Coturnix japonica: one gene and its partner. The protein of the gene in region 1 interacts with the protein of each later gene in a pairwise test. Links are inferred from orthologs where the notes say so. Each region holds a gene or a part of one and is shown in the gene's direction. Other genes may lie near its edges.

Region 1 (5,328 bases):
ACCCCCAAGTGACAAGGATAAGCTGTGCTAGCAGTGTTTGTAGCATGGCTGGAAACAGCAATAGCTTATTAACAACAGCAAGTACCAGTCAAGCCACCGTTAGCTGATCTGACAGTGAAGGCGGCAGCGATGCCAGTGAAAGGAGAAGGAAAAGCAGCAAGATGTTTTAAAGGCTGGAAATCATGCAGCCCACCCTGCCCTGAAGGAAACAACAGGCAGAAGATAAAGATACAGGCCTACCAGCTTCACGGAGCAGGAAGCGTGTTTCTTTGGATCTCCCACAGACTCCATTGAGTAATTACTACTGCCAGTGGGGAGAGGCTTCTTGATGGTAGGGACGGTGAGCCACCAAGAGAGACTAAGAAATCCCAATTTCTGCAGATAAAGGACAAACTGGACAATCAAGTGACCGGAGTGCCTATGGACAGCTGATCCTGCCTTGGGGGATACAACCTACATCAGGGAATGGCAAAACTCTTAGGGTTACAGTGGCAAGCTGTATTTTTATTTCTTAAAATAGAGCAGAAATTTGAGAATTGGGAGATAGTTCCACCCAAGGAGGCCAAATGCTGACAAGCTTATCAGCTGGTATGAGGGCTGTATTTAAGGAGCTCTCACAGGTCCCTCTCTTAAGATGGCTTGGCTTCAATTTCCAACAATCAGAATGGGTCCCTGTGCACGTTCTCTGGCAGGTTTCTGATTGCAGGTTAGTTAAAACACGTTCTCCTCATATCTGTGTCCGCTGTGGAGTCGCAGCAAACTGACGTTTGGAGTTGTAATCTGTTCTCATTCTGAAACGTGCTCAATTCTTGTTTGCAGAGAAGCTGCTGCTACCATGTCCCACAAGGAAGGAAGGATGGGGAGATGGGGCCATGGCGGCTATCAGTGCAGGGCAATGCGTGGCCGTGGTACCCACAGCAATGAGTGGGGCAGACACAGAGGAGGAAGTTTTTCACACAGAGGGTTGTGACGCACTGGAACAGGTGGTTGTGGATGCCCCATCCCTGGAGGGCTGGCTGGATGTGGCTCTGGGCAGCCTGGTCTGGTGGTTGGTGACCCTGCACATAGCAGGGGGGTTGAAACCAGATGATCATTGTGGTCCTTTTCAACCCAGGCCATTCTATGGCTCTATGATTCTACCATCCAGTCCAACTATGAGCCCATGCCTGCTGACCACATCTCTCAGTGCCACATCCACACAGCTCCTCAACACCGCGTACCCCGGTGGCGCAGTGGTAGGAATGCCGCGTTGCAACACCAAAGGCGCTGGGTTCGAATCCCCCTGTGGCGCAAGTGGTAGAAGTGCCGCTCTGCTACACAGAGACTCGAATCCCGGGGGTTCGACTCGATGATCTCTAAGGTCCCTTCCAACCCGCACCAGACTGTGATACTGTGATGATGATGACACCTCCAGGGACGATGCCTCCATGGCTGCCGTGCTCCCCAGCTGTGCCCATCCCCACCCGCCATGTGCCGGTCACCGCACTGATGGCCGCACACCACGTGCCCGCCCGAACATCAACCTGGCGCCGCCGCTTCCCGCCGCCAGCGTTGCAGGGCGGGGAGTCGGAAAGCGCGAAAATCCCGCGCATGCTCCCTCCGCCCCCGCCGTGCCGGCCGGTTGGCTGCTGCGCTCCGCGTGTGCCCGTGCAAGGCACGCTACACCCCGTGACGTCAGCGCGCAGCGTCACGCCGGTGGGACGCACAAAAGTGTAAGTTTCAATTTTTTTTTTTCGGGCTCCCCCTCATTCCCCGGTTCACCGGCGCTGTCCCCCCCCCCAAATCCCCACGGGGAATAGAACGAAAGGGAAGAGAGAGAAAGCGGACGGTGGGATCGCGGGCAGGGACAGCCGCTTTAGTTCACCCCCCCCCCCCCCCCCCTTTCCCCGCTGCCGCCCCCCGTGCAGGTGTGCTCTGGCCGCACGGTGACAGCCCGCACGCCGCCCCCCCACACCCCGCCGTGCCGGCACGGAGCGCGTCCAGCCGCCCCCCCCCATATATACACACACATTGCGGCCGTTGGGCGCCCGCTCCCTCCCTCCGCCCCTGCCCCCTCCCGCCGGGCTCGCGGGCCCGCGCGCGCCGCCCGCCCGCCGCACATGTGCAGTCGGGCGCCTCCGCAGCGGCAGCTCGGCGCCGGGACACGGGCTGGGGGGACAGCGGCGGCGGGGGATGGAGCCGGCGATCTCCGCATTGGGCCGCTCAGGTGCGAGCGGCTGCGGCCCCAGGATACGGAGGGAAGGATGGGAGGCGCCCGCGGAGCCGCCATCGGCGTGGCCACCCGCCGCTGAGCGGAGGCCCCGGCGGCTGCGGTCTCCGGCTGCGGGCGGGAAGGGAGGGGGGCGGCCCAGAGGCCTGCGTGTGCCCGCCGACGGGATGGGGCCCGCCCGAGCGTGCCGTGCAACCCCCACCACAAGCCGTGAGGGTGGGCGGCGGGGCGTCGCTCCCACGTGCTGGCTGTGAGCGGGGGCGTCGCTTCGATAGAACGGGGCATGGGGGGGAACTTTGCGCTCTCCCATAGGGTTCTGTTCTGAAGCACAACGGGAATCGGGGCGGTGCAAAGTTTGCCTCGTCTCATTGTGGAGAGCTGACTGATGGTGGTTGTGTTTGCTTTCTAGAGAATAGCATCGTCGTCCCAGCGTCCCGCAGGCAGCAGGATTGTAAGAGGATTGCCTGCTAGGCTGGGGTAACATGGCAAAAGATGTAAGTATATTTATAGCGCATCACATGCAGGGGCATAGCTAATAGCATATTTTTGCTTTTGTTTTTGCTAACGGAAGCAAAGCAGGTCAGGCTCTGGTATAGCTGGCAGTGCAAACGTGTGAACCTGACTGTGCTGTACCCCAGGCCTGGGCTGTGCTTCACTATATGGATGGTCCGACCCCAAACCAGCTTCAGGTCTGCAGCAGGTTCCTCAAAGTAGCCCTTGGAATCTACTGTCGTCATAAAAGCTCTCTGGTCATTGGCATTAGATGTGTTCACATTGAACACCACCCCAGGTTGGCTTTGACGTGGGTTCAGAAAGCCCTAGAATACACCGTTCAGATGCTGGGGTGGTTGGTGGCTCTGTCCTGTTATCTCCAGAAGTCACCAGCTGAGTGTCACTGCTGGCTGGTGCTGCCTCTGCTGCTTGGTGTGTTCGGGGTAGCAAAGCCTCCTTATCTCCTCACTCTTTCTTCCCTGTCCATTCAAAGATGCTGATTACTGCTTGTAAAAGCAAGCATTGGGAGCTTGCAGCATACACTTCCACTGCCATCCTTGCCATGACTGGTGGCCTTGAGGCAGGCCTCAGAAACACCTTTGCTCTTATCCATTCCAGTATTCTTTTAAGAACCATTTGAACAGGTTCCGCCTTTCAGATCTATTTCATTGCTTGTAGCTAATGTAATTGGACTGCCACGGTTCTATATTGAGAAGGAGAGAATGGAGAGCTCTGTATTCAAACTTGAATGCATCTCCCCCCCACCCCCCCCAAAAAGGACAACAAAATAGCAAACAAGTCACAAAGCAATTCCAGTTCTAAACAGCAGGTTACGTTATTGTGTGAACTGTTGTAGCTTTCGGAGAGTGAGAATTACTGTGAAATAGTGATTGGTTTAACAAATTAATCTTGTAGGGAATTTTAGGAGTTCAGAAGCATATGGAAAGTATCTCGGTGTGCAGAAACGCAACCAGAAATACGTAGTCACTGCACGCTCGCCTGTAAAAGATAAGGGCGTTCAAGTGCGCTACAGATAGCAGAGTTCAGGGAATGAAGGGCTGTACGAGCAGGGAAAAAAATGGAAGAGGAGGGGTGGAAGAGGAGGTGAAATAAGCGGCAGCTCAGAGTAATTCATATGTTAGGATACATCCATTTCGTACTGCCATTTGGAAGGAGATGGGCTGAGTGAAGGACTGGCACCTGGAAGTTAGATCGGTGTCGTATAATGTGTGTGGGGACATAATGGGGGTAAGGCATCTAAGAAAGAACCTAATTGGAGAGATCCATTTTGCTGTAGGAGGGGAGTAGTTAAGGGAGGAATAACATGCGCAACAACAAACTTCAGAAATGGAAGAAGATGCTACAGGTGGGAACGAATAGGTGTTTTCAGTGTCTTCTAAGAGCAGATCAAGAAGTAATAAACTGAATTTGGAGGAGCAGTAATCCGGCTCAGGTTGTAGGTGACATGTTAAGCATGCTTGAACACTGGGACAGGGTAGGGAGAAAGTGTATGAGGTCTTAACTGAAGAACTGTGTAACCCGTTTTCAGAAGCCTTTGCATATATGTAAAATCCTGTTTGAGGGAAGAAAGATGAACCGCATTAATGGCCCGCGGTTCTGCTGTGTCACCTATCGAGCGCTCTAACGGTCTGCAAGATGTGGTGAATAACATGGCATAGTTGATGAATGCCCCCACCCCTTCCTTCCCTTTTTCATTTCCAGCAGGGCTGAAGTGGCACAACTGTGGTGAGGGCGGTTTGTGCCGCTCTCCCCCCAGGTCTGGAGGTGGCATTCCCATGGCCAAGCGTGTATCAGCACGCTGCAGCTGGGGAACATGGGCTCCGGGCGAGCCCCTGGGTCCTGTGCTGGCAGCTGCTGGAACAGGCAGCCCTGCAGAAGGTGTGGAGCCAGGGCTGTGCTAGATAATGCTCCCGCTTAACCCCTCCTCCCACTTGCTGAAGGAAAATACTTCTTTTCCTTACGTTGCTCACTTGTAGCTTTCCAGCTGATGCCTCTATTATATTAGGCTGCGGTTGGTCTTGATGATCTTCAAGATCTTTTCCAACCTGGGTAATTCTATGATTCTATATGAAAACTGCTATTTGAAAATACCTGTTTGGAAAGTTAAACGCCTACTAAGACTAAGACTTTATAGGGGAATTGAAGAAATGGGCAGCATGATGGAGAGTATTGGCGAGCCCAAGAAAATGCTTTTAAAAAGGACTAAGTAATGACAAAAGTAGCGATCAGGTAAGCTGGCAAGATAATGCTTGCAAGATATTTGACCAAAGTCTAAATTCTGTTAAATATTACATTAAAATATATCCCTCTAATGCTTTTCAGAGTGTACAGTAAAGAGAAAATAAGCAACAAAGCATTGGTTTTTGGCAGAATACTTTCCTCTCCTTTGCTGTGGTCAGTAAGCTATGAAGGGAGGGGAAAAAAGGATACATTGTGATGTGGCGCCTTAATTAAAAGCCTGTAGGTTGAGTTTAAAAGCATAATCATACCTGATTCAGTGACTGGGTCAAATTGAGAGATAACAGTGTAAAATGAGGTAGCAGCTTGTGAAAGTCAAAGTATCTGGGCATTCCACGTCTTATTTATTCGGAATGGTTATATAAGGG
Region 2 (5,582 bases), on another chromosome or scaffold:
ATATTTTGGTAGCTGCAAGAATGGGAAAATAATCACATCCCATAATTTCCCATAATTTTAATTCCCTTTCAGTTTCCCATAATGTTAAGGCACTCCTTCTTCACAGAATCACAGACTTGCAGGGGTTGGAATGCACCTCAAGAGATCACTGAATCCAAACCCCTGCTAAAGCAGGTACTCTACAATAGGTCACACAGGTGGGCATCCAGATGGGTCTTGAATATCTCCAAAGAAGGAGACTCCACAGCCTCTCTGCGCAGCCTGTTCCATTGCTGCCACCCTCACTGTAAAGAAGTCATTCTGCATATTTGTGTGGAACTTCATTTGTTCCAGTTTTTGGACACTGCTCCTTGTCCTATCACTACACATCACTGCAAAGAGTCTGAGCTCATCCATGTGCCCCCTGCAAATAAACCTCGATCTCAGTCTTCTTTTCTCCAGACCCATGTTACTCAGCCTTTCCTCATATGGGAGATGCTCCAGGCCCTTCATCATCTTTCTTTTTCCAGCCATATTAAGCTGAGGACAAGAAAGAAAGCACTATTACCAGAAACACATTTTAATTCTTACATTTTACAGTGTAAAAAATCACTTGGTAGCATTTAAATTCTTTATATATAATCATTATGTAGAGGTCAGAACTTTAACAGGATTTGAATGAGATAAGGAAGTTTAAACAAGCAGACATATTAATATAGGAGATTAAATTAGGAGAGTGGAACAGGCTGCCCAGGGAGGTTGTGGATGCCCCGTCCTTGGAGGTGTTCAAGATCAGGTTGGACGGGGCCCTGGGCAACCTGATCTAGTAAAGGTGTATGTTTGGTGGCCCTGCCAGGCAGGGGGGTTGGAACTACATGATTCTTGAGGTCCCTTCCAACCCGGGTCATTCTGTGATTCTGTGTGATTCTGTGATATACAAAAATATAGACAGATACTTGCATCCATATGATACTTACATGTATAATTTGTCTTTAATGCTTTCATACTTATTCACTTTTTCAGGACAATATTAGCTTTGGCTCATCTTTGCAATTGCACACATGCATCTACAGGAAAGCCCAGCTGCAAGATTTCATTTAAGGGGAGACTGCATTTGAAACCAGAAAATTTTAACGAAATCATTGTTGTAGGTTATATGAATGTTAAAACATCCCATTCAGCAAATGGAATGACCGCCCTCTGGTGGTGGGTCGAAAATCGATCCAATTGGAGAAGATATGCCTCCAGTTGAGTATAACAGCAAGAGGATAATCTTCATTCCTTATTGGACTGTACTTTCTGCTATTGAATACTTAGAGAGCATTATGTTGCCCGTAAGAAAGTGTGTGTTTTTAGGTATCAGTGATGTGTCACAGAAGCACACAGAATCACAGAATGACCCGGGTTGGAAGGGACCTCAAGGATCATGTAGTTCCAACCCCCCTGCCTGGCAGGGCCACCAAACATACACCTTTACTAGATCAGGTTGCCCAGGGCCCCGTCCAACCTGGCCTTGAACACCTCCAAGGACGGGGCATCCACAACCTCACTGGGCAGCCTGTTCCAGGGCCTAACCACTCTCCTAGTGAAGAACTTCCCCCTAACATCCAACCTAAATCTTCCCTCTTTTAACTTAAAACCATTTCCCCGTGTCCTGCTATTATCAGCCCTTTCCAAGAGTTTACTCCCCTCCTGGGAGTAAGTTCCCTTCAGGTATTGAAAGGCTGCAATGAGGTCACCCCGCAACCTTCTCTTCTCCAGGCTGAACAAACCCAACTCCCTCAGCCTGTCCTCATAGGGGAGGTGCTGGAGCCCCCTGATCATCTTTGTGGCCCTCCTCTGGACCCTTAACAAAATCTCCATGTCTTTCTTGTACTGAGGGCTCCACACCTGGACACAGTACAACAGATGGGGCCTCACAAGAGCCGAGTAGAGAGGGACAATCACCTCCTTATCCCTGCTGACCACCCCTCTCCTGATGGAGCCCAGGATCCCATTTGCTTTCCGGGCTCCCAGAGCGCACTGCTGGCTCATGTTGAGTCTTTCGTCCATCCCCCTGTGCAGCCTGTTCCATTGACCCCCACACAGCGCTCAGTGATGAGGGCACTGAGGTAACGATGCACACGGCGCTTCCGCTGCGAGAGAGCGGGAAATCCCCGCGGCACCGGATTGGTGCTCGGCCTTTGCGTCACCTTGGCCAGGTGCGCGCATGCGCAAACGCTCCATCCGCCGCCCGGCCGCCCACAGGTGGGGGAGGGTAGGAGCGGCCGCAGCGCTGAGCCCAGGCGGCCCCGGCACCCCCTCCACCCGGAGGTGGGGCGGGGATGGAGGCGCCTTTATCCCGCACGGGCCCCCAGCAACATCGGGTAGGGTTTTGAGTGCTCTGCCGTCTCATCGAAGTCCGCCGCCGGCGTGAAGGAGGAAGAGGAGGGGGCGCGCCAACATGGCCGCCGCCTCCAAGTGGGAGCGCCTGAGGCCGCTGCGGCCGGACACGCTGCGTCTGAGCGCGGTACGGAGCGGGCGGGGAATAGGGATGGAAATACAGCCTGGGAACGGCCAGAGGGCGGGGCTGGGATGGGCTGGGTTGGGGCTTGGATCCTGCTGCGGAGGGAGGGAGGGGTGTGTGGGGAGGGACGGCGCTGCGGGTTGCTGGGAGCGGGAGGACGTCAGGATAGAGCTTTTCTAATGTAGCTCTTTATAGAATCACACAGAATCACAGAATGAGCCGGGTTGGAAGGGACCTCAAGGATCATGTAGTTCCAACCCCCCTGTCTCTTTACGGGTAGAGTGGAGAGGTTTGATTTAAAACTTGGTTTCCCAGCCAAAATAGGAGTGCTTCACCACCAGTGCTTCTAATTAATGGGTACATATGACTGCAGAGAGTTGAGTGGTGGACTTAATAGAGACCCAGTACATTTTAAGCGCTAAAATCTGGAACGTGATGAAATGTAATCCCTTAAAAAGCTGTTTTAAAAGAGAAAACAGTTTCGGTTCTGTCTCTTTACAAAGAACAAGTTGACACGGTGCCAAAAACAAAAAATGCAGAACTAGAAAGAGGAGACAGAGCTGCTGGGGGCCATTGGGAAGGACAAGGAGGAGGTGGTGAAGCTGGGACCGAAGCTGGGAAGGCAGCGAAGGATGGTCGGAAAGTGGCATCGGCAGCCGAGGCCTATGGGGAGCTGTGAGGCAGAGTGGCCTCGTGAGGCTTATAGAGGTGTTATAGGCCTTGTGGGTTGGGTTTGTGTTCTGGGCCCTGTAGGGGGGATCCCAGGGCCTTCTAGAGCCTTTGTGGGGGGAGCATTCAGGAGTATAGGAGCATAGAATCACACAGAATCACAGAATGACCCAGGTTGGAAGGGACCTCAAGGATCATGTAGTTCCAACCCCCCTGCCTGGCAGGGCCGCCAAACATACACCTTTACTAGATCAGGTTGCCCAGGGCCCCGTCCAACCTGGTCTTGAACACCTCCAAGGACGGGGCATCCACAACCTCCCTGGGCAGCCTGTTCCAGGACCTAACCACTCTCCTAGTGAAGAACTTCCCCCTAACATCCAACCTAAATCTTCCTTCTTTTAACTTAAAACCATTTCCCATAGAGATCCCGTAAATGCTGTAACGGAGGAATTGGGGCCCTATAGATTCTATAGGGTGCTCCCAGGACACCATAGGGCAACAGAGACTCTTTACAGTGCCCTGTTGTCCAGGGCTCTCTCCCTCTCAGGTATTTTCTCAGACCTGAGTGCACTATTTGCAATCAGCCTCTCATCAGACTCTGGTGATGTTAAGCACCAAGTTAACCTGGTCATCTAGCTCAGGTCTGCTCCTGTGCTGTCCATGAGGTATGTAGCAAGAGCTCCACCTGCTTGTATGTCTGCAGCGTGCTGTGGGGACTGAGTGCAAGGCGTGGGGAAGGGCTGAGTGGCTGTGCTGGATGGTGACTGTACCACCTCCCTTGGTAGCCTTTTCCAATGGATCACCACTCTTTCCAAGAAAAAAAACAAACATTTTCTGGTATTGAACTTGAACCTCCCCTGGCACAGCACGTGCTTTGGGACTTTGGGAGAGCAGACTTCGGGACTCAGCTTATTCAGGCAACACATCACTGAAATATTGGGAGAGGCAGCTTGGAAAGATGAAGGGGTGGAGGCCTGTAAGGACATCATCGAGGGTGACTGGAGCTTTTTAACTGCCAAGGAAGGGTGAGTGAAGGAAAATGTGAATTTGCTGCTAAGGGGAAGAAGTGGTTTAGTGAAAGCAGACACAGATAAGGCTGGAGATGTTAGAAACCTCTGGGAATAGGCTGGAGGGATGGATCATCAAGGAGATGATCAACTTGAACAAGGAATTTGAAAATTAAGTCTGAATCCTATACCTGGAAGTGTAACTTGATGTGGTAAAGGCTGGGAAGTGAGATGTTATGGAATTATCCTGCTGAAGAGTCCTGTCCTGACCTGAGAATCTGTATGGACAGTGGGCTAAACATGAGATATCGGTATATCCTGCACTGAGGTGTATGCAGTTCTCCTTTGCTTGTCAAGTATTTGCTTCTGTGGGTGTGGGAGCCATAGTGGTGAGGCTGGTCTCTTTTCAGCAGTGCATGGGGATAGGACTAGGGGTAATGGGATGAAAGTACAGCATAGGAAGTTCCGCACGAATGTGTGGAAGAACTTCTTTACAGTGCAGGTGATGGAGCACTGGAACAGGCTGCCCAGGGAGGTGGTGGAGTCTCCTTCTCTGGAGATATTTAAGACCCGCCTGCATGCCTACCTGTGTGACATGGTGTAGGGAGCCTGCTTTGGCAGGGGGGTTGGACTTGATGATCTCTAGAGGTCCCTTCCAACCAATTCTGTGATTCTGGAGTGCTGTGTCTCATTTGGGACTGACCGATACAGGAAGGATGGTGATAAACTTGAGTGCAGCCATCAGCCATCTGTCAAAAGTGGCACATGTGTTAAGACACGTAACTGAAGGAGCATTTTAAGCCACAGCAACCCACGACTAATTGCAACTACTGTTCTTCTACTGAGTGAGATTCCTTCACATTGCTCTGTTGAGCTGTCAGTTCTCCTGTTACTGTTTGCATCTGGCATTACTTACACCTTGATTTTTTTTTTCCTCAGACACCAATGCTTGACTTGAGTTTAGATGATGACGTACCAGTTGTAAAAAGTAAGTGGCTGCATTCCATGCGTTACCCTTGAAGTATTTCATGTTCTTTTGTTGTGTTTTTTTACAGTGGTGATGCATGCTGTAAACAAATGGGAAATTGTAACATACCTAATATAGTTCTGTTGAAGCATTAGGCCGGAATATTACTTAGTGGTAAAGTCTGATAAGATATGAAATACTTTGCAGTACAAGGCACAAGTAACAGTGATGTTTTGCAGTCTTTTATTGACCAGCATCAGAGATTTTTATATGAGAGCGTGTTTGCCATAACTACTTTGGGGCTTTAAAATGAAGGAGTGGTCAGGTGTACATAAATAACAGTCTAACATTAACCAAGCTGTTGAGTGCCTTTTCTGCTCTCAGACTATACACTGGTATCTCTTGATTTGTAGATCTTTGTCATATAATAAATTAAACAGCAGCTTCACCAGTT

The links. The genes of interacting proteins can lie anywhere in the genome.
Region 2: the proteins of TFDP1 (region 1) and E2F6 interact in binary tests that used the Homo sapiens proteins (3 or more experiments, as listed by UniProt). The link is inferred for Coturnix japonica from reciprocal best matches to the Homo sapiens genes TFDP1 and E2F6.

The regions. Positions count from the first base shown.
Region 1 is NC_029516.1:123,725,550-123,730,877, reverse strand, and holds the start of TFDP1 (transcription factor Dp-1), read left to right. Parts: upstream 1-1,596; 5' UTR 1,597-1,712; intron 1,713-2,078; exon of another isoform or gene 2,079-2,206; intron 2,207-2,618; 5' UTR 2,619-2,691; coding exon 2,692-2,703; intron 2,704-5,328. UniProt on the Homo sapiens protein: Can stimulate E2F-dependent transcription.
Region 2 is NC_029518.1:88,733,613-88,739,194, reverse strand, and holds the start of E2F6 (transcription factor E2F6), read left to right. Parts: upstream 1-2,185; 5' UTR 2,186-2,422; coding exon 2,423-2,488; intron 2,489-5,100; coding exon 5,101-5,149; intron 5,150-5,582. UniProt on the Homo sapiens protein: Inhibitor of E2F-dependent transcription. Binds DNA cooperatively with DP proteins through the E2 recognition site, 5'-TTTC[CG]CGC-3'. Has a preference for the 5'-TTTCCCGC-3' E2F recognition site.